3 linked regions of the Rattus norvegicus genome follow. The protein of the gene in region 3 binds, or shares a complex with, the protein of the main gene of each other region. Links are inferred from orthologs where the notes say so. Each region holds a gene or a part of one and is shown on either strand. Other genes may lie near its edges.

Evidence for each region.
Region 1: the proteins of Vegfa (region 3) and Nrp2 are in contact, whole or in part, in a crystal structure (PDB 5DN2), measured with the Homo sapiens proteins. The link is inferred for Rattus norvegicus from reciprocal best matches to the Homo sapiens genes VEGFA and NRP2. Residues at the interface, in NP_003367.4 of Homo sapiens: Lys392, Pro393, Arg394, Arg395; in NP_957718.1 of Homo sapiens: Tyr299, Ser300, Asp301, Trp304, Thr319, Asp323, Ser349, Glu351, Thr352, Asn354, Tyr356, Gly417, Ile418.
Region 2: the proteins of Vegfa (region 3) and Kdr are in contact, whole or in part, in a crystal structure (PDB 3V2A), measured with the Homo sapiens proteins. The link is inferred for Rattus norvegicus from reciprocal best matches to the Homo sapiens genes VEGFA and KDR. Residues at the interface, in NP_003367.4 of Homo sapiens: Pro246, Asp247, Ile249, Glu250, Ile252, Lys254, Met287, Ile289, Pro291, His292, Gln295, Ile297; in NP_002244.1 of Homo sapiens: His133, Val135, Tyr137, Ile215, Val216, Val217, Val218, Val219, Gly220, Tyr221, Asn253, Gly255, Ile256, Asp257, Phe258, Val273, Asn274, Arg275, Asp276, Phe288, Ser311, Gly312, Leu313.

What each region holds. Positions count from the first base shown.
Region 1 is NC_086027.1:71,674,914-71,680,386, forward strand, and holds part of Nrp2 (neuropilin-2 precursor), read left to right. Parts: intron 1-1,749; coding exon 1,750-2,099; intron 2,100-3,944; coding exon 3,945-4,089; intron 4,090-5,473.
Region 2 is NC_086032.1:32,584,223-32,589,695, forward strand, and holds part of Kdr (vascular endothelial growth factor receptor 2 precursor), read left to right. Parts: intron 1-710; coding exon 711-825; intron 826-911; coding exon 912-1,075; intron 1,076-2,927; coding exon 2,928-3,084; intron 3,085-3,949; coding exon 3,950-4,061; intron 4,062-4,888; coding exon 4,889-4,997; intron 4,998-5,473. UniProt on the Homo sapiens protein: Tyrosine-protein kinase that acts as a cell-surface receptor for VEGFA, VEGFC and VEGFD. Plays an essential role in the regulation of angiogenesis, vascular development, vascular permeability, and embryonic hematopoiesis.
Region 3 is NC_086027.1:22,451,128-22,457,059, forward strand, and holds the start of Vegfa (vascular endothelial growth factor A), read left to right. Parts: upstream 1-1,726; 5' UTR 1,727-2,203; coding exon 2,204-2,806; intron 2,807-5,696; coding exon 5,697-5,745; intron 5,746-5,932.

The DNA of each region.
Region 1 (5,473 bases), about 49 Mb from region 3:
AGGGGAAGGGCGGTTCTGGTGAGGCCTGGGAATCAATTGCATCCTAGGCTTCTCCCCTCTCTCTGAATCTATAAGGTTGTGCCATGTGACCTTCCCAAAAGGAAGTGGCTCAAAGTCCTACCAGACTTATTCTCTTCATGTATTTCTCCATCCATCCAGCCGATATGTTCTTATTAAGCCTGCGTTTATTTCTACTGGTTAAAACGTATTGAGCGATGATTGACAACAGATTGCAGCCCCACCCTAAGTGTGCTATCTTTTATTATTCCTATGTGTCATAGGTGTTGTCATTGTCCTCACTTTGCACAATAGGAAACCAAGAGTTAAAGAACTTAGTCCCCAGTAAGTGATGGTACCATGGTAACCTAGGTAACTTGAGTTTCAAATAATGCTCTCTGCTACCTCATGTACAAACCAAGATCTAGACACGTCACTATAGACACAACGGGAACATGCCAGACCCAGGCCAGTGTGGGCGTATGGACGAGTTAGATGGACGAGTTAATAGGAAACAAGATGGTAAATAAATGAAAATCAGAAAACTATGAAGAATATCTGGAAACAGGATGGGCCTCATGACCCCTGAAGTGTTCTACAGAAGACTTGACATAGCCTGGCAGGTCAAGAAATTCTTCGGTGACAATGAGTTACCGAGGTCAGAGGGCAGACAAACCAGACAGTACCTGCCGAAGAGTGATTAGAAAACAGATACTCAGTGGTGATCGCTGCTTGCTTGTTGGCACTGTAGCAAAGGAGTGGAGAGACAGTGTGTGAGGACTGCATCTGAAGGAACAATGGCACTCGCATGGGCTAAGACTCATGGGCTGCACAGGAGAGAGCATCAGAGTAGGATCAGAGGCCTTTGGTAGACCGGTACAATGGTATAGTTGTGAGACCATGGCGATTAGACCAGCAATAGGTGAACATTTACAGGTCAGTCACTTCCACTCTGAACTCCACCTAGAAAGGCAAGCTGATTCTCTGACATGGAAGGGTCCTCAATGTCCATCCACCCTCTTGCCTACCTCGCCTCACTCCATCTCTGTCTAAGAGCACACCGTGGAATGACCCTGCTTATGGCTTCTTGTTCGAGCACCCTGCATCTGCGCCTTCTCTGCATCGTTCATGACTCTCTCCTGTACATTATGCTGCCTGTTTATTACACCAAAGATGACGCTGGTGAAGTTATTAGATTCTGATAGGCAATAACTTAACCCTGGTCACCATCCATCCAGAAGGTGATGGAACCAGGACCTGCACCTAGGAAACTATAAGCCCATCTTGTAGGCAAAATGGTCTTCCACTGTGCTCACTGTCCTTGAGAGAGTCAGTGGGGATCAGGTGTTGTGGATAGATGTGCCAACACACATTCTCAGAAGCCCTGATCAGAGCCATAAATACAGCCACTGTGTACTTAGGTGTACCAGGCACTGTTCTAAGGCCTTCGCTGAGGTGAGTCCTCACAACAGGTAGGCACTGCTCAAGAGTACTCCTTTAGACTTGGGGGGCTCGATGCATGGAACAATTAAATCACTTGACCAAAACTGTACAGCTAAGTAAGCAGGAGGGTGAACATATAACCAGGCATTCTGAGTCCAAGTTCAGGCTCTGAATCACAGCGCTCTACAGCCTCAAAATACAAAATAAAATAAATAAGCACGTGACCTGATGGCCTGATAGCTGCTAGGGGGTGGGCTTCAATTAGTGGGTCTCAGCCACGACTTCTAGTATTCTCCTTGTCTCTCCTAGATGCACCCTGCTCCAACATGCTGGGAATGCTCTCGGGCCTCATTGCTGATACCCAGATCTCTGCCTCCTCCACCCGAGAGTACCTCTGGAGCCCCAGTGCTGCCCGCCTGGTTAGCAGCCGCTCTGGCTGGTTCCCTCGGAACCCTCAAGCCCAGCCAGGTGAAGAATGGCTTCAGGTGGATCTTGGGACACCCAAGACGGTGAAAGGCGTCATCATCCAGGGGGCCCGAGGAGGAGACAGTATCACTGCCATGGAAGCCAGGGCATTTGTACGCAAGTTCAAAGTCTCCTACAGCCTAAATGGCAAGGACTGGGAATATATCCAGGACCCCAGGACTCAGCAGCCAAAGGTAGGCCATTCACAGAAAACTCTGCTGCCATTCTAAACAGAGAGGTTCAATGGGGTACAGGGAGCTGGGGTACTGATGTCCCATCTAGTAGATATCCATCAAACTCCATCAGCACAACAAAACACATACCAACCAAGACACAATGTTGCCCAGGGCCTGGTTGCCTAATTTAGTTAGATTCATTCATCATAACCCTCTATGAAGTCTACTCTTTGATCACTCACATTTCAGAGATGACAAAACTGAGGCTTAGGTTATTCCAGAGTCACACTGTATATCGGTGCTTAAGCCATGATTCAGAAACCAAAAGTCAGATTCCAAAGCCCAGATACCTATGCAGTGCTTATGAAGTTTGGTAGCCTTCACAGTCCCTTCTGGATAACGTTTCCTTGAAACGGGCCAGACATCCCAAGGGGATGTGGTTGTTGGAGGCCAAGCTATAGACACTGGGAGTTACTTCCAAGAATAACTGTTTTTCTGAACATTACGCTCCGTTGTATTTTCTTAGTCTTGAATGCTCAGATCTTTTCCCGCCTGCCTCTTACACTGAGTTTGAAAGAAGAAAGAGAATCTTATGCTGGGCCAGAAGTTCAGGCCAGAGCAGCCCATCCCAGCCATGGGAGAAAGGAAGGCTGACCTTCACCCTAGCATGCAAGGAGGCTCGGCTAGAAAAGGACCCCATGCCTCTTCCCTCTCCAGATTCATCTCCTGGTAGGCCAGGCTAGCTGGTCCTCATTTCTACGTTACTTTCAACTGCAGACAAGCAGGGTTCTCAACAAGAAAGGACTCCTCCCTGTGATAACCAAGGTTTTGCTTTCTGAATGCATAAGCAAGGGCTAAGTTGGTTACAGTAATATGAACTTCCAGATCACAATCCCAGGGCCTTGAAAAGACCCAGGGTCTGGGAACCAGAACCTTCATTGAGAAGCCCAGGAACTGGAAATTTCCCCAGCGACAGCTAACCATGACTCTTAGTGAAAGAAATGATCTTGGCCCTGCCCAAGGCAGCACCCTTACTTTGAAAGCTATCCTGAGCACCTACAGTTGGCTGACACTCAGACATCCCTGAACATCACAGCTGTCCTCTCCCTGTGTGAGGGACCCCACGGTGGCTCTGGATAGGATCCCTACACAGCTTTTTACACATTGGCAATCCAAGGGAGGTTTCTTTAGGTGGAATTGCTGCTGATAGACAAAGCTCTGGAAGACTATCTCAGGCCATCAGTTTGTAACCAAGAGGACGCCCTTACTATCCTAAAGAAGGAGCAGCCATTTTTCTTTCTGACTGTCAGTATACTTGGAATTGTTGGCCCCATGCTTCTTGGCATTGAATAACCTGAAAGTTATTCATCCGTGCGGGCAAGCATCCCGCCAACTCTACCCCATCCCATCCAGGTACCCAGACTTCCAGGCATCAGGAAAACACTTTTCTAAAAACTAAAAAAATAAGACAAGGAATCTGGGATGTTTGCTCGCCTACTAGTTTTTATTTTAAAGATAGGAGTCTTTTAAAAGATGGTGCATCAACCTCAAAAAGATTACTGGATCTCCGATTATGGTTTTAATTTTCCTTTTTTTTTTTTCCTTTCTGGACAAGGTCAGCTTAAATCTCATTTGCAGCTCAGACTTCCCCTGACAATGGCCATTCTAATGATACCTGATTTCCATATCCCAAGGTCCCTCGTGGACTTTCCAAATGAACAAAGACCTTGGTTTGAAATAAAGCTTGTAGAGGATAGTGCCCCCATGAATCAACCATGAAGCTGACTTCTGGGTTAGGTGTGGTTGGGAGAGGTACTCGGGGAGGAGCCCCACATGGGGGCTGAACAACCTGTCTCCCTACAGCTGTTTGAAGGGAACATGCACTATGACACCCCCGACATCCGAAGGTTCGAGCCAGTTCCAGCACAGTACGTGCGGGTATACCCAGAGAGGTGGTCACCAGCGGGCATCGGGATGAGGCTGGAGGTCCTGGGCTGTGACTGGACAGGTAAGGAGGATTTGCTCTCCATGTCTTTCTCATTTGATCTTGGTATCCTGGGAGGGGGAGAGAGGCAGTCAGCCTTCGGGAAGCAGACATCACTGTGTACCTGCTATATTTTTGGGACCACCTCTGAACTTGGAGAAATTTCTCGAGGGAAGCAGTTTGTCCTTGGTCAGGGATCACTTCAGTTCTTCAACGGGAGTCTCTCAAAAACAAATCATAACCACCCACCACCCACCCAAATTCAATTAGACCCCAGCTCTTCAGGCCAGGGGGCTGTGGCTGTTGATTTAGGAAAGAAAAACCCTCTCATGATAATAAAGTAATCCGTTTATGTCTGAATCTGGCCTCCAGATGTCAGAAGCTCAGAGACAGCATTTTCCTTTCAAAGCCACAGCTGTAAAAGGCATCTATTTGCTCAGAAGGGACAGCATGGTGCAAGGGTGCATCTTCCCAGGCTACAGCTGTCCTCCTGCTCCTTCCGGACCTTCTAAGAAGCACAGCCCTGGGGCAAGGGCCTCTGGGAATTCTCCCTGTGAGGGTGAGGCCCAGAGCTCACTCCTGAGAAAGCCAGATCCCTCTGAATCAGACTCAACCTAGCCTCTGGCCACTGGCTCTACTTCTTCCTCAGAGCTGGCACAGACTGTCAAAATGAGCTTTGGGAGTCACCTGGAGCTCAGAGCCCCACCCAGTGCCAGCAGGAGCCGCCAGTAGGCTGTGCTCTCCTGCCCCTCCCCACCAGGGCCCCAGGTAATCCCATTTTCCTGTCTGCTGTATCTGTCACTGGCAGGATGGCATGAAGGATTAATAAGGGCATGTCAGAGAAGTGCTCTGGGCTCCCAGGGAGAAAAGTGTTGCCTGTGTGGGGGCTACAAGTGCACAGAGGAATCCTGGGCAGACGTGCTGGCCAGGAATGGGGCCCAAGTTCACTTCTAGGCTTGGAAGTGAAGACACTATCATGGAATCTATACTAGTTGGGAGACTCTCTCTCTCTCTCTCTCTCTCTCTCTCTCTCTCTCTCTCTCTCTCTCTCTCCCCCTCCCTCTCTCTCTCTCTCACACACACACACACACCACACACTTGTAGGACTAAAGCTGAGTCCCCCAATGCCTGAATGTATGTCGATTGTGCCTCACCAGTACTAAAAACCCACCTCAGACATGAACTAGTTTCATTTACCCCCTTAGGCTTAGAACTATAGAGAATCCAGAAACTCCTAGGCTAGGCTAGTGGATGCTACATTTGATCACGTGTCTCAAGTTAAACCAAATCTCCATTGCAGCCCCTTTCATTGACAAGCAAGCACACACATGTGAACATATGGGGACGTTCTTGAATTCCAGAATGATGACTAAATTCAAGTCCTTCCCTGGCCATCACTAGGAGTAGA
Region 2 (5,473 bases), on a different chromosome or scaffold from region 3:
GTTCGAATCCGGGGGAGAGATGGTGGAAGGCTTGGACTAGGGTTGGGGGTGGTTGTCAGAAGAGACAAAGTCTTGGCTATATTCTGAGGTGTAATCAGCAAGACTTACTGGCTGACTCATTGACAGTGAAAAAAAGTAGACATTGAGCTTTTAATACAAGCAATTGAACAGTGGCATCCCTAAATGAAGGGGACTGGATGGGGTTACAGAGAACAATGTAGAATGTGTTTCTTGGGTGATGCCCATTAAACATCCAGGTGGAAATATTTGATATATGTAAACCTGGAACCCAGAGAAGTCAGACAGGGGTTGAAAGTTTGTGTTCAGAACTGATGCTTTAGATATGAGACTAGATGGAAGAGGAGATTTGGAGGGAGTGAGTGTCAGGGCAATCAATACACAGAGTTGGGTAGAGCATGTCACAGGAGCAGAGAATAAGGTATAGCTTCTGGTCCCTGGGCATGGTAGAGAAGGCTGTGTGGAAGATAGAATGCTCAAGACTCATGAGAGAGCTCTAGTGAGGAGACAATGCTGACAACAGCTAGAAGTGAGCTGGAATTTGGCTGCTATAGATGGCATGGGGATTCTCAGAACAGCGGTACATACATGTATCCCAAACTCTACCTTTTCACTTGATTAAAAGTCCAAACCAAAAAGTCATTTACTGTAACTTGGCATTTATGAGAACCATTGCTTTCGTTTTCTTCTAGCAAAACCTTTTATTGCTTTTGGTAGCGGGATGAAATCTTTGGTGGAAGCCACTGTGGGCAGCCAAGTCCGAATCCCTGTGAAGTATCTCAGTTACCCAGCTCCTGATATCAAATGGTAACTACTGGAAATAAAAGCAAAGCATTGATTTGCATGAGATAAAATCCTTCTATCGCACTACCTCCCGGGATTGTCTCCCTTAGGTACAGAAATGGACGACCCATTGAGTCCAATTACACAATGATCGTTGGTGATGAACTCACCATCATGGAAGTGAGTGAAAGAGATGCGGGAAACTACACGGTCATCCTCACCAATCCCATTTCAATGGAGAAACAGAGCCACATGGTCTCTCTGGTTGTGAATGGTGAGTCCATTCGCTGTCTCTTCTGCCCAAAGTTTACTAGGGAAGAGAGAGAGATAGTGCATCTTCACATATCTCCCATCATTTTGTTGTCTTCTGTTATACCATCTGCATCATTAACTGGGCCAATGCATGAGAGAGAGAGAGAGAGAGAGAGAGAGAGAGAGAGAGAGAGAGAGAGAGAGAGAAAGAGAGAGAAGAGATGGAGAGAGGGAGAAGGGAGGGAAGGAGGGAAGGAAGGGAGGGAGAGAGAGAGAAGAGATGGAGAGAGGGAGGGAGGGAGGGAAGGAAGGAGAGAGGGAGGGAGGGAGGGAGAGAGATGACCCAGGGAGGTGGATTTGAAATAAGATGTGGTCTGGCATCCTCTGGATGTGCTGCTTCTTTGATTACTCGTGTGAAGGTTCTGTTGGTGGTCACCTACAAGGTGAGAGGAAATAATACCCCTTAGCCAAATGCCTCTGGGGTCACTCAAAGCTTTGCGAGCTCCTGTTGCTTTTGTCCTCAAAGCTACACATCGAATGAAGATTTGGGAGACCCTCCTTGTGTTTTGTGTGACATTTTAGTCTGAAGATTTAGCTGTTTTGCTGCAGATGCATGGCAGAACTCCACAAAGGAGATTTGTGGAAGCCGGCACCATTGGATAACTTGCTGTCTACAGTCAGAGGACACATTTAGAATCTGTCCAGGAAAGAGCATAAGCTTTTGATTTAAGAGTGATTTAAATTACTTCCCAAACCGAATGTACTAAGTATTTGAGTTTGGGATAGAAAGGTGCCATGGTCAGGTGAGTGGAGCAGGTATCAGGTTGACTTAAAATGTCTTTCTTATAGGACCTCCTTAGAATCCTTATAGGATAATGACTATTGCCTTCTCTGGTAGGAGTGACAAGAGTATCAAGGATTTAACTAGATGATTTGACTAGAGCACTTTTCCTTTCCCAGTAAATAGATTAATGTTTTGCTCCAAACACAGTCGGAGGAATGCTTCTGGTGTAATTCTTCGTGCTTCTTACTAGCACCACACATTAAAATGTCAAGAGATTGTCTCAGAGCAGGAGCATGCTGCCCACACATCTCCATCCTCTGTGTGTCTTCTGAGCATGGCTTCATTTCTTTTTTTCCTTAGGGAGTATTTTTTAAAGATAACAGGTTCTGGGAAGGTTGCTTCGAAGCTGCATGGACAAAGGGGATTCAAGAGGGGGGAGGAAGGCAGAAGCTGATTAAGTATGATGAAAAGAAAAAAACCAGGCAGCAAAGACAGAAAGGCAGACAGGGAGCAACCCCATTGCTCACTTCTCCAGGTCACCACCTTCAGAGTACCCTAGCACATACTGTGCGCAATACATACAAAAGTCAAGTTGAGCTTCTATTCTAAAGCCTTGGTCCAGGATCAGTATTAACTGATGCCTTTGGGCAAATTTTTTAATATTTGCCCCATTTCTTTTCATGTGTAAAGTGAGAGCCATATCCATGATTATGAGGGCTGAAAGTCAATGTGAAGCACCTCAACAAGGCTTGGTGCACAATAAATGTCTTTGCTGAGTTATTCCAACTGCTTTCTCTCTGTAGCCTCTCACCCCATTCTTGCTAGACTAGAGGATGTGGAGAACAATATCTTTCATGTAAGAGTAAGAGAGTGTGGCATGGGAGTGCATAGCTGAAGTCACTCAGCTTATCAGGTTTTAGTGTTATGAGAGAATAAGAATTCAGGTCTTCTGTCTCCAAGTCTAGATGTCCTTTGGGAAAACAAGCAGAGGTCAAATCATATGAGTACACAAGGCAGATCTGGTTGCTGAAATCCCCTCTTTGTTCTCAAAGCAATTGGGAAGTTCACAGGTCGCCTTTTCTATCTCCAGTTCCACCCCAGATCGGTGAGAAAGCCTTGATCTCTCCTATGGATTCCTACCAGTATGGCACCATGCAGACGCTGACATGCACAGTCTATGCCAACCCTCCCCTGCACCACATCCAATGGTACTGGCAGCTAGAAGAAGCATGCTCCTACAGGCCCAGGTGAGTGGGACCATGTGCTCTGTTCACTTGCTATCATGCATCCCTTCCTGCCAAGCTATGCCACGGTTCCACCTAAATCTGCAAGGCTATGTCCAAGGAAGTTACTTTCAATGGTACTTAGACTCACCTCCCACATCCCACTATGTGAGTCAGCTCTTTCTCCTTAGTTATCCCTGATGGATACCTCTCCAAACGGATACCATTTGCTGCGTTTGCTAGTTGCCAATCTTTGGATCTTCTTCTGTCTGTGGACTGGAGAGGACCACCCTGCTCCTCCTTATCTCTGGGAAGGTTCAACTCTCAGAGGAAGTGCTGGTGGATGGGAGGCAATGATAAACGTAGCCCAGGCCTCAAGAGTCTCGGGCCCAGCTTATCAAGGTCTACCACAAGTGCAGACATCCTTAGGGAAAACAACAGCCACCACCTTCAACCTACCACCCCAAGCATTCCACTTCCTGTTGTTGTTTTTGAAATAGCAAACCCTAGTTTCTTCCTCAGCTGCTGACCATTTCCTAAACAAAAGTCACCAGTCATTCCCAGAGAGATGACTTTAAGAAGCCCCAATGGCTTCCAAGTTTCCTTACCTTCCTTTGAACTAAGTGAGCTTGAATTGTCTTGTCGATGCAATTTATGAATGGAGACTTGTTCCCAGAATAGCTGCTTCCCTTCTGTATTCTCGGGCAGCTACCTTGGACCTTTGCACTGTTGTTGGCATCTATTTTTAATTGGCGCCAAGTTCTGCGAAGTGTTAGCCTGTGTTGAGAGTTATCACTAAGAACGTGATAACCATAGGCTGACCTTTTCTGGTGCTACTGAACAAAAGAGAAGTCAAATCATGACATGCTGTGCTTTCTCCCTCTTACAGCCAAACAAACCCATATACTTGTAAAGAATGGAGACACGTGAAGGATTTCCAGGGGGGAAATAAGATCGAAGTCACCAAAAACCAATATGCCCTAATTGAAGGAAAAAACAAAGTGAGCTTGAACTTTGATTTTGAATCTCTCTTTTTCTAATTCTTGAATCTGAGTAGAAGGTGGTACAATAACATGCAAAGGTATATTGGAGGTTAATAATCAAATAGTCTGTATTATGTCATCCATAACAGCCTAGGTATAGAGTCAACCTAGGTAGATAAAGAAAGCATGAGTTTTACACACATACGCACACACACACACACACACACACACTCCTTCAATCTTAAATAGCAACAAATTTATGCCATTTGCAGAAAGTTGAGATCATCACATTAAGCGAAATAAGTTAGACTTAGAAATACAAATATGATTTTCTTTTATATGAGTCAGGATAAAAAAAGATATGAAGGTAGAGAAGACAGACTGATTGGGAGTGAATATAATCTAAGTATATTATATACATGTATAAAATGTCATAATAAATCTTGCTGTTTTGTACAATTAATATCTACTAATTTAAAAGGAGAAGGGAAAAACCCGTAGTACCCATAGCTTACTAGCAGTTTATGGAAGAGAAACAAAGCACATAATGCCACTCAGTGTAAGCACCTGTTGAAAAGTAATTCTGATTCTATACACATAAAAAATGAAAAGTGTGAATTATGTCCATGAGAGTGCATCCTTGAGGATTTCTGAGGCACTTTTGTATCCCGTGTATTACTGCCTGGTTAGAGCTGCTTACCTTTGAGGGTGGGCAGTGTGTACCATGAATGGCAAGGGCAGTCCTTAGCAGCTGTGGAGGGCTGATGGATAGACTGTCTCAGTGTGTATGTGTGTGTATATGTTCAGCCTGTATTGTTCATGACTTTGGTCTTGTATGTTCACAGACTGTAAGTACTCTGGTCATCCAGGCTGCCAACGTGTCCGCATTATACAAATGTGAAGCCATCAACAAAGCAGGACGAGGAGAGAGGGTCATCTCCTTCCATGTGATCAGTGAGTAGACCTCTTTGGAGAGTGGGGTGGGGGGAACCCTCAGGAAGTGGGTGCTAATAAGCTGTGAGGTTGTCTGTTGTCTTTGGGATTTGTGTGAGAGGTGGGCTGTGTAGATAGGACTCAAGGTAACAAGCTAGAGCTGCTCACATAGCCCCTGGGCTTGTGAGAGAGTTAATGTGCCATCCCTGGCCAGAGATGGTTTCCACTTGTGCTTTAAGCCTCAAGATCCATGTTGTGTGTAACTTGTCTTGCTCACCAGTTAGTGGGATTCTTGACTTCCTAGGGTTTATGAAGTTATCTGTGGGTCTGTGATAGAACAGCACCGGGTCTGGGGCTTCTGGGAGTATGGGAATGATGTGAAATCACTGGCCCTCTGCCTTCCAACACTCTGGAGTTTGTTCCTGCAGCCTAGTTTTACGGGTAAACTTGAGGTGATTGTACTGGTTCAGACATTTTGGCCTGAGCTAATTACTTGT
Region 3 (5,932 bases):
ACTCAGGGCAGCTATGATAGGCCAGATGGGATGGGGTGGCTTTTTTCCTCATAAGATCCTCATAACATTGCTCCATTGAAATTGGGGTTCCCAACAGGTACCAGCATCCCACGGAGCCTCAGTACTGTGTGCAGAGGGATGGAGATGGTGGAGTAACCTTTTCGGGGGACCAGTAGGAAGACTGTTGGCTCCCTTTCTCAGAAGCTCAGCAGACCTGGGTGAGGGCTGGGACTGGTTGGTCCCTCTCTTCCCACAGGTATCAGAGCCCCCTCTTGTTCCCAGGGGAGCCTAGGAGCAGCTGGGCCAAAGCCCAACCAGGAATTTTTCCAGGCTGGTTCCTATATCCAAGGGTGGGCTGGAGGTGGGGGCTTTGGGGAGCTCTTAAGGAAGACACGAGGAGGTGAAGGGGACTTTGTGGAAAGGGAGGGGACAGAGCCACACAGGCTAAGTGTACAAGCATAGAGAAATGGCCAAGGGTCCTAGGTAGAATGGGAGGGGGCAGAGTACAACCCTGAACTCTGTTTAGAAGATGAACTGTGAGCCTAGGCTAGAACTGAGGGAGCCTTACCTCTACTCCCATCCTACCCGGAGTTGGTGGCAGCGCTGGGCAGCTGGCCTAACTACGTTTCTGAATGCTAGGGTAGGTTTGAATCACCACGCAGGCCTGGCCTGCTTCTGCCCCCATTGGCACACTGGCCTTAGTTCCCTGGCAACATCTGGGTGTTTGTGTGTGGGGGGTGTGATCAGGAGGAACAAGGGCTTCTGTCTGCCCAGCTGTCTCTCCCTCAGGGCTCTGCCAGACTCCACAGTGCATACGTGGGCTTCCACAGGTCGTCTCCCTCCGGGCCACTGACTAACTGCTCGGCTTCCCGTTCTCAGTGTCACACATTTGATGCCATATCCTCTCCAGAGAAGCCTCTCTGGAAACTTCCCAGGGAATCCCATTCACCCCAGGGCCCTAGTTCCTTATGTATGAAGATCAGACAAGAGCTCAGATAAGCATACTTGCCTTCCACGTAGCCCCCCGCCCCATATATAATCCTAGAGTTTCTGTTTCCGAGGTCAAACAAGCAACTGTTGGGGGGTGGGTGTTAGAAACACGCAACTATTTGGGAAGTCAAAGCCTGCGGTGCTCAACAGTCAACTCTCACCCCCTGTCCAAGACCCGTGCCATTTGAGCCAGAGTTGGGGTGTGCATAATGTAGTCACTAGGGGGCGCTCGGCCATCACGGGGAGATCGTGAACTTGGGCGAGCCGAGTCTGCGTGAGGAAGGACGCGTGTGTCAATGTGAGTGCGTGCGTGCATGTGCGTGTGTGTCTGGGTATAGTGTGTTTGTGAGGTAGGGGAGAAGACCAGGGGTCACTCCGGGTGTCCGTCTCCCCATACGTCCTTGCCAGCTCTCCGCCTCCCCCCCCCCCCACTTTCTCCTACATTCCTGGGAAAGGAAATTGCCCTCACTCTCCTGTCTCCCCTGATTCCCAACACCCTGGGATTCCCAGTGTGTCCCCGAGCCAAGTTTGAAGGGGTGGACAGATAATTCTCAGGCTATGGACCCTGGTAAGGGGTTTAGATTTCTATTTCGCAGTAGTGGCCTAGGGGCTTCTGAAAGGCGGTGCCTGGTTCGGCCTGGCCTCGCCCCCGGGGCGGGCCTGGGGCGGGGCCTTTGGGGGCGGGGCCAGATTTCCTTTTTTTTCCACCGCTGTTACCGGTGAGAAGCGCAGAGGCTTGGGGCAGCCGAGCTGCAGCGAGGCCGCGGCGCTGGGGGCGAGCTGAGCGGCGGCAGCGGAGCTCTGTCGCGAGACGCAGCGACAAGGCAGACTATTCAACGGACTCATCAGCCAGGGAGTCTGTGCTCTGGGATTTGATATTCAAACCTCTTTTTTTTTTCTTAAACTGTATTGTTTTACGCTTTAATTTATTTTTGCTTCCTATTCCCCTCTTAAATCGTGCCAACGGTTTGGAGAGGTTGCTCCTTCACTCCCTCAAATTACTTCGGATTTTGGAAATCAGCAGAGGAAAGAGGTAGCAGGAGCTCCAGAGAGAAGTCAAGGAAGAGAGAGAGAGAGAGAGACCGGTCAGAGAGCGCGCTGGCGAGCGAACAGAGAGAGGGACAGGGGCAAAGTGACTGACCTGCTTTTGGGGGTGACCGCCAGAGCGCGGCGTGAGCCCTCCCCCTTGGGATCTTTCATCGGACCAGTCGCGCTGACGGACAGACAGACAGACACCGCCCCCAGCCCCAGCGCCCACCTCCTCGCCGGCGGGCAGCCGACGGTGGACGCGGCGGCGAGCCGCGAGCAGGAGCCGAAGCCCGCGCCCGGAGGCGGGGTGGAGGGGGTCGGGGCTCGCGGGATTGCACGGAAACTTTTCGTCCAACTTCTGGGCTCTTCTCTCTCCGGAGTAGCCGTGGTCTGCGCCGCAGGAGGCAAACCGATCGGAGCTGGGAGAAGTGCTAGCTCGGGCCTGGAGAAGCCGGGGCCCGAGAAGAGAGGGGAGAAAGAGAAGGAAGAGGAGAGGGGGCCGCAGTGGGCGCTCGGCTCTCGGGAGCCGGGCTCATGGACGGGTGAGGCGGCGGTGTGCGCAGACAGTGCTCCAGCCGCGCGCGCGCCCCAGGCCCCGGCCCGGGCCTCGGTTCCAGAAGGGAGAGGAGCCCGCCAAGGCGCGCAAGAGAGCGGGCTGCCTCGCAGTCCGAGCCGGAGAGGGAGCGCGAGCCGCGCCGGCCCCGGACGGGCCTCTGAAACCATGAACTTTCTGCTCTCTTGGGTGCACTGGACCCTGGCTTTACTGCTGTACCTCCACCATGCCAAGGTAAGCGGTCGTGCCCGCCTGGTGTCGCCGGGCCATGGCGAGCGCCTCTCCCGCTTGGGGACGTGCGTGCGTGCGAGCGCGCGCGTGGGGGGCTTCGTGCCCCACGCGGGTCCTTGGGCACCGGGCGCGAGGCGTCCCCCTCTGTCGTCGTACGTGGAGGGGGAGGGGGTGCGCGCTAGGTGGGAGGGCGCCAGGATAGTCTCGCCGCCCACGCGGGCCCTGCCCACCCACCAGAGTCACCGCACGTACGATCTGGGCCGAGCAGCGGAGGGCGGGAGCCAGAGGAGGAGGCTGAGGGGGCTGGGCTTGCGCCCGAGCTGGCGGCAGAAGTTTGCTCTGGGTCGCGGGTCCCGGGAGAACTGGAAGTCCGGGCAGAGGGGGCGGGAGTCCGGAGCCCAGCGGGCATGCCTGGGGGTGCTCGGACCTTGGACCGGGGGAGGGCAGAGATCGTGGAGGGGGCAGGGCGCCGGCGACCGAGGGGGCTTTGCTGTCACTGCCATTCGGTCTCTTCGGCCTTTGCAGTGAGTTTGGGGAAAGTTTTAGGATGGATTACTGCGGGGACCCTCTCCCACCCCTCTAGCTTGTTGGGCCACCTGCGCCGCGCCACCCCCTCCCGTCCCCGCTCGCGTCCCGCGCGGTGCCCGCCCTCCCCCGCCTGGCCGGGCGCGCGCGGCGCAGAGCCGATTACATCAGCCCGGGCCTGGCCGGCCTCGTGTTCCCGGAGCCGCGGCTGCTGGAGCCCGGAGACCCGGGCGACAAGCGGCGCCCCTCCCCCACCGGCCCTCCGCGAGGAAGGTGACCTCTGGAGGTATCCCCAGCTCCGGGACCGGGAGAAACTCCCATACCCCTTTCCTCCGTTCCCAACTTCTACCCGTGCCTTGCTCTAGGCAGAATTACCCGACGCCCCTTCCCCCTTTCCCCCATTTCCTGCCTGGTGTGCAGAAAAGCCCTTCCCACCCTTTTATATTTTCCTTTTCCTTGCGAAGACTCATCGGACCCTTCCTGGCCCCAGGGCCCAGGAAAAGGACGGTGACTGTCAGACGTGGGGGTGTTGGGGCCCACCCTCGGGTTCTTTGTGGAAACGCTGACCTAAGTTTTGAGTTGGTGAAGGTGTGCTTCCCTCTCCTCCTAGCAGCTCCAGTTAGCTGTGTTTCACCTTTTTTTTGGGGGGGGGGCGGTCAACGAAGGGTGGACTGACATCACCCTATTTCCCCCGTTTTGGAAACATGACTTGATATTTGCTAAGACAGGGGCAGCCTGGAACCAGCCCTTTCCTACTCCTTTGACAGGATCCCTTGTCAGTATCTCACACACACTTTGTCCTGGCAAAGCCTGATGCCCAGAGAGCAGGTGGTTTAACTCTGAACTTACCCACCCAATTTGCCTACTAAAGGGTCCTTTGATGCTCGTTTCCTCTAATTCTCAGCTATAGAGCCTTCTTGGAAAGGAGGCAGAAGGAAGGAGAAGGGCAGGTGTCCCTGCCACCATCCAGAGGTCCCCAGACCCTGGCACAAAGGCCTTGGTTCTGGGCCTTCATGTGGGGAGGAGGGCAGGAGTGCTTGGCCACAGTGTGACCTTCAGAGGCCCCCAGAGAAGGACACCTGGCCAGTCCCTGCCTAGAACCTCCCCATCTGGGAAGGGGTTCAAAGTTTCTGTTTCCTTTCTCCACTGGGGTCTAGACAGAGGAGGAAGGAGAATGTCATGAGGCTATTGAGGGGGTATTTGAGGGCCTGATGAAGTGCAGAATCCAGGACCAACCTGGGGCAGCTGCAGTGGGAGGCTATGTCTTGAGAAGGGCCACCTCTGACCTTGGCCCTGGTGGCAAGGCTGAGGGCCCTGGATGGATTGCTCTTAGGAAAAAGAGACAGAGACAGACCAAGGGTGGGAGTCTGTCCCTCTGGGGCAGTTGGAGGTCCAGGTTGGTGTGAAGCAGGTGGATGGGGAGTTGTAGCAACAGGAGACCCTCAGGAAGGCCAGGAGCCTTGGCTTGCTTGCCACGTCAGGGCCACAGGGCCTTCTTGGTGACCTTCAGAGGTTCTGGGGAGGGGAGAGAGGAACTGGTGGGGATGAGGAAGGTTGGAGGGCTCAGGGTGGGGCAAAGGACCCCCTGGCAGAACTGAGGAGAAAGCTTCCCTGGGTACATTTAAGCAAAGTGCCCTGCCCAGGTGAGAGGCTCCGGGATGTGGGAGTGGGAGGCTAGCCAGGCTTTGGAAGCTGCAATCGGGACCTGGGCAGACCTGGGACCTGGGGTGGGAGGAGAATGGGACTCTCCCTTCCTTAGGAGCTTCCTCCCAGCTTTTCACCCCTTGAGCAACCTGTGGGTATGCTGACTATTCCCCAGGCCTGGGAAGAGTTCAGATGGGGGAGGGTAGTTGGTGCCCTTCTGTCCTCTGCATCTCTCTTCGACTCGAGCTAACCCTGGTATTTGTCATGTCAGCAGGAGAAGGTCACCACGTTGTTTTTCTCGCCCCCAGTCTTTCCTTCCTGCCCCAGTCCAAATTTGTCCTATTTGACCTTAATGCTTACCCATGGCTTGGGACCAGGGAATCGAGGGCAATGGGAAAAGGGACAGGACAAGAACAGGACGGGGCTGGGGGCCTGGGTCAAGCAGGATTCTGGTATTTTCCTCCTACATTGTGAGCTCCCTCACACCTGGTTAGTCTTTAACTTTCACGGGCTCAGAATTGAAGCCATCCGGAGTAGTGGGTATGCTCTGGGCCCACAGGACCCCTACTGTTCCCCGTGTGACTCAGAAGACTTGGGGAGGGTGGGAGCTGGGGGTTGGGAGAGGAGGCAAAAAGAAATCTAGGGATTCAGTGGTGTCAGGCCTGGGACTCCTGTGGCTGGCCCTGTCCCTGACAACGCTCTTTACTCTTTGTTTTGTCCTCAGTGGTCCCAGGCTGCACCCACGACAGAAGGGGAGCAGAAAGCCCATGAAGGTGAGTCCTCATGCTTGTAATGGGTCCCTGTTGTCCCATTCCTCTTTCTCAGATGGGGGGTGGGGCGCAGGAATATGAGGGTCGAGATTGCACCGGTACTTTTGAGCTTAACCCTTGTGTTTCTTAAGGTGTCTCCTGTTGGGCTTTCTGCTAGAAACAGGACTTGTTGCTTTTTCTAATAGCTTTT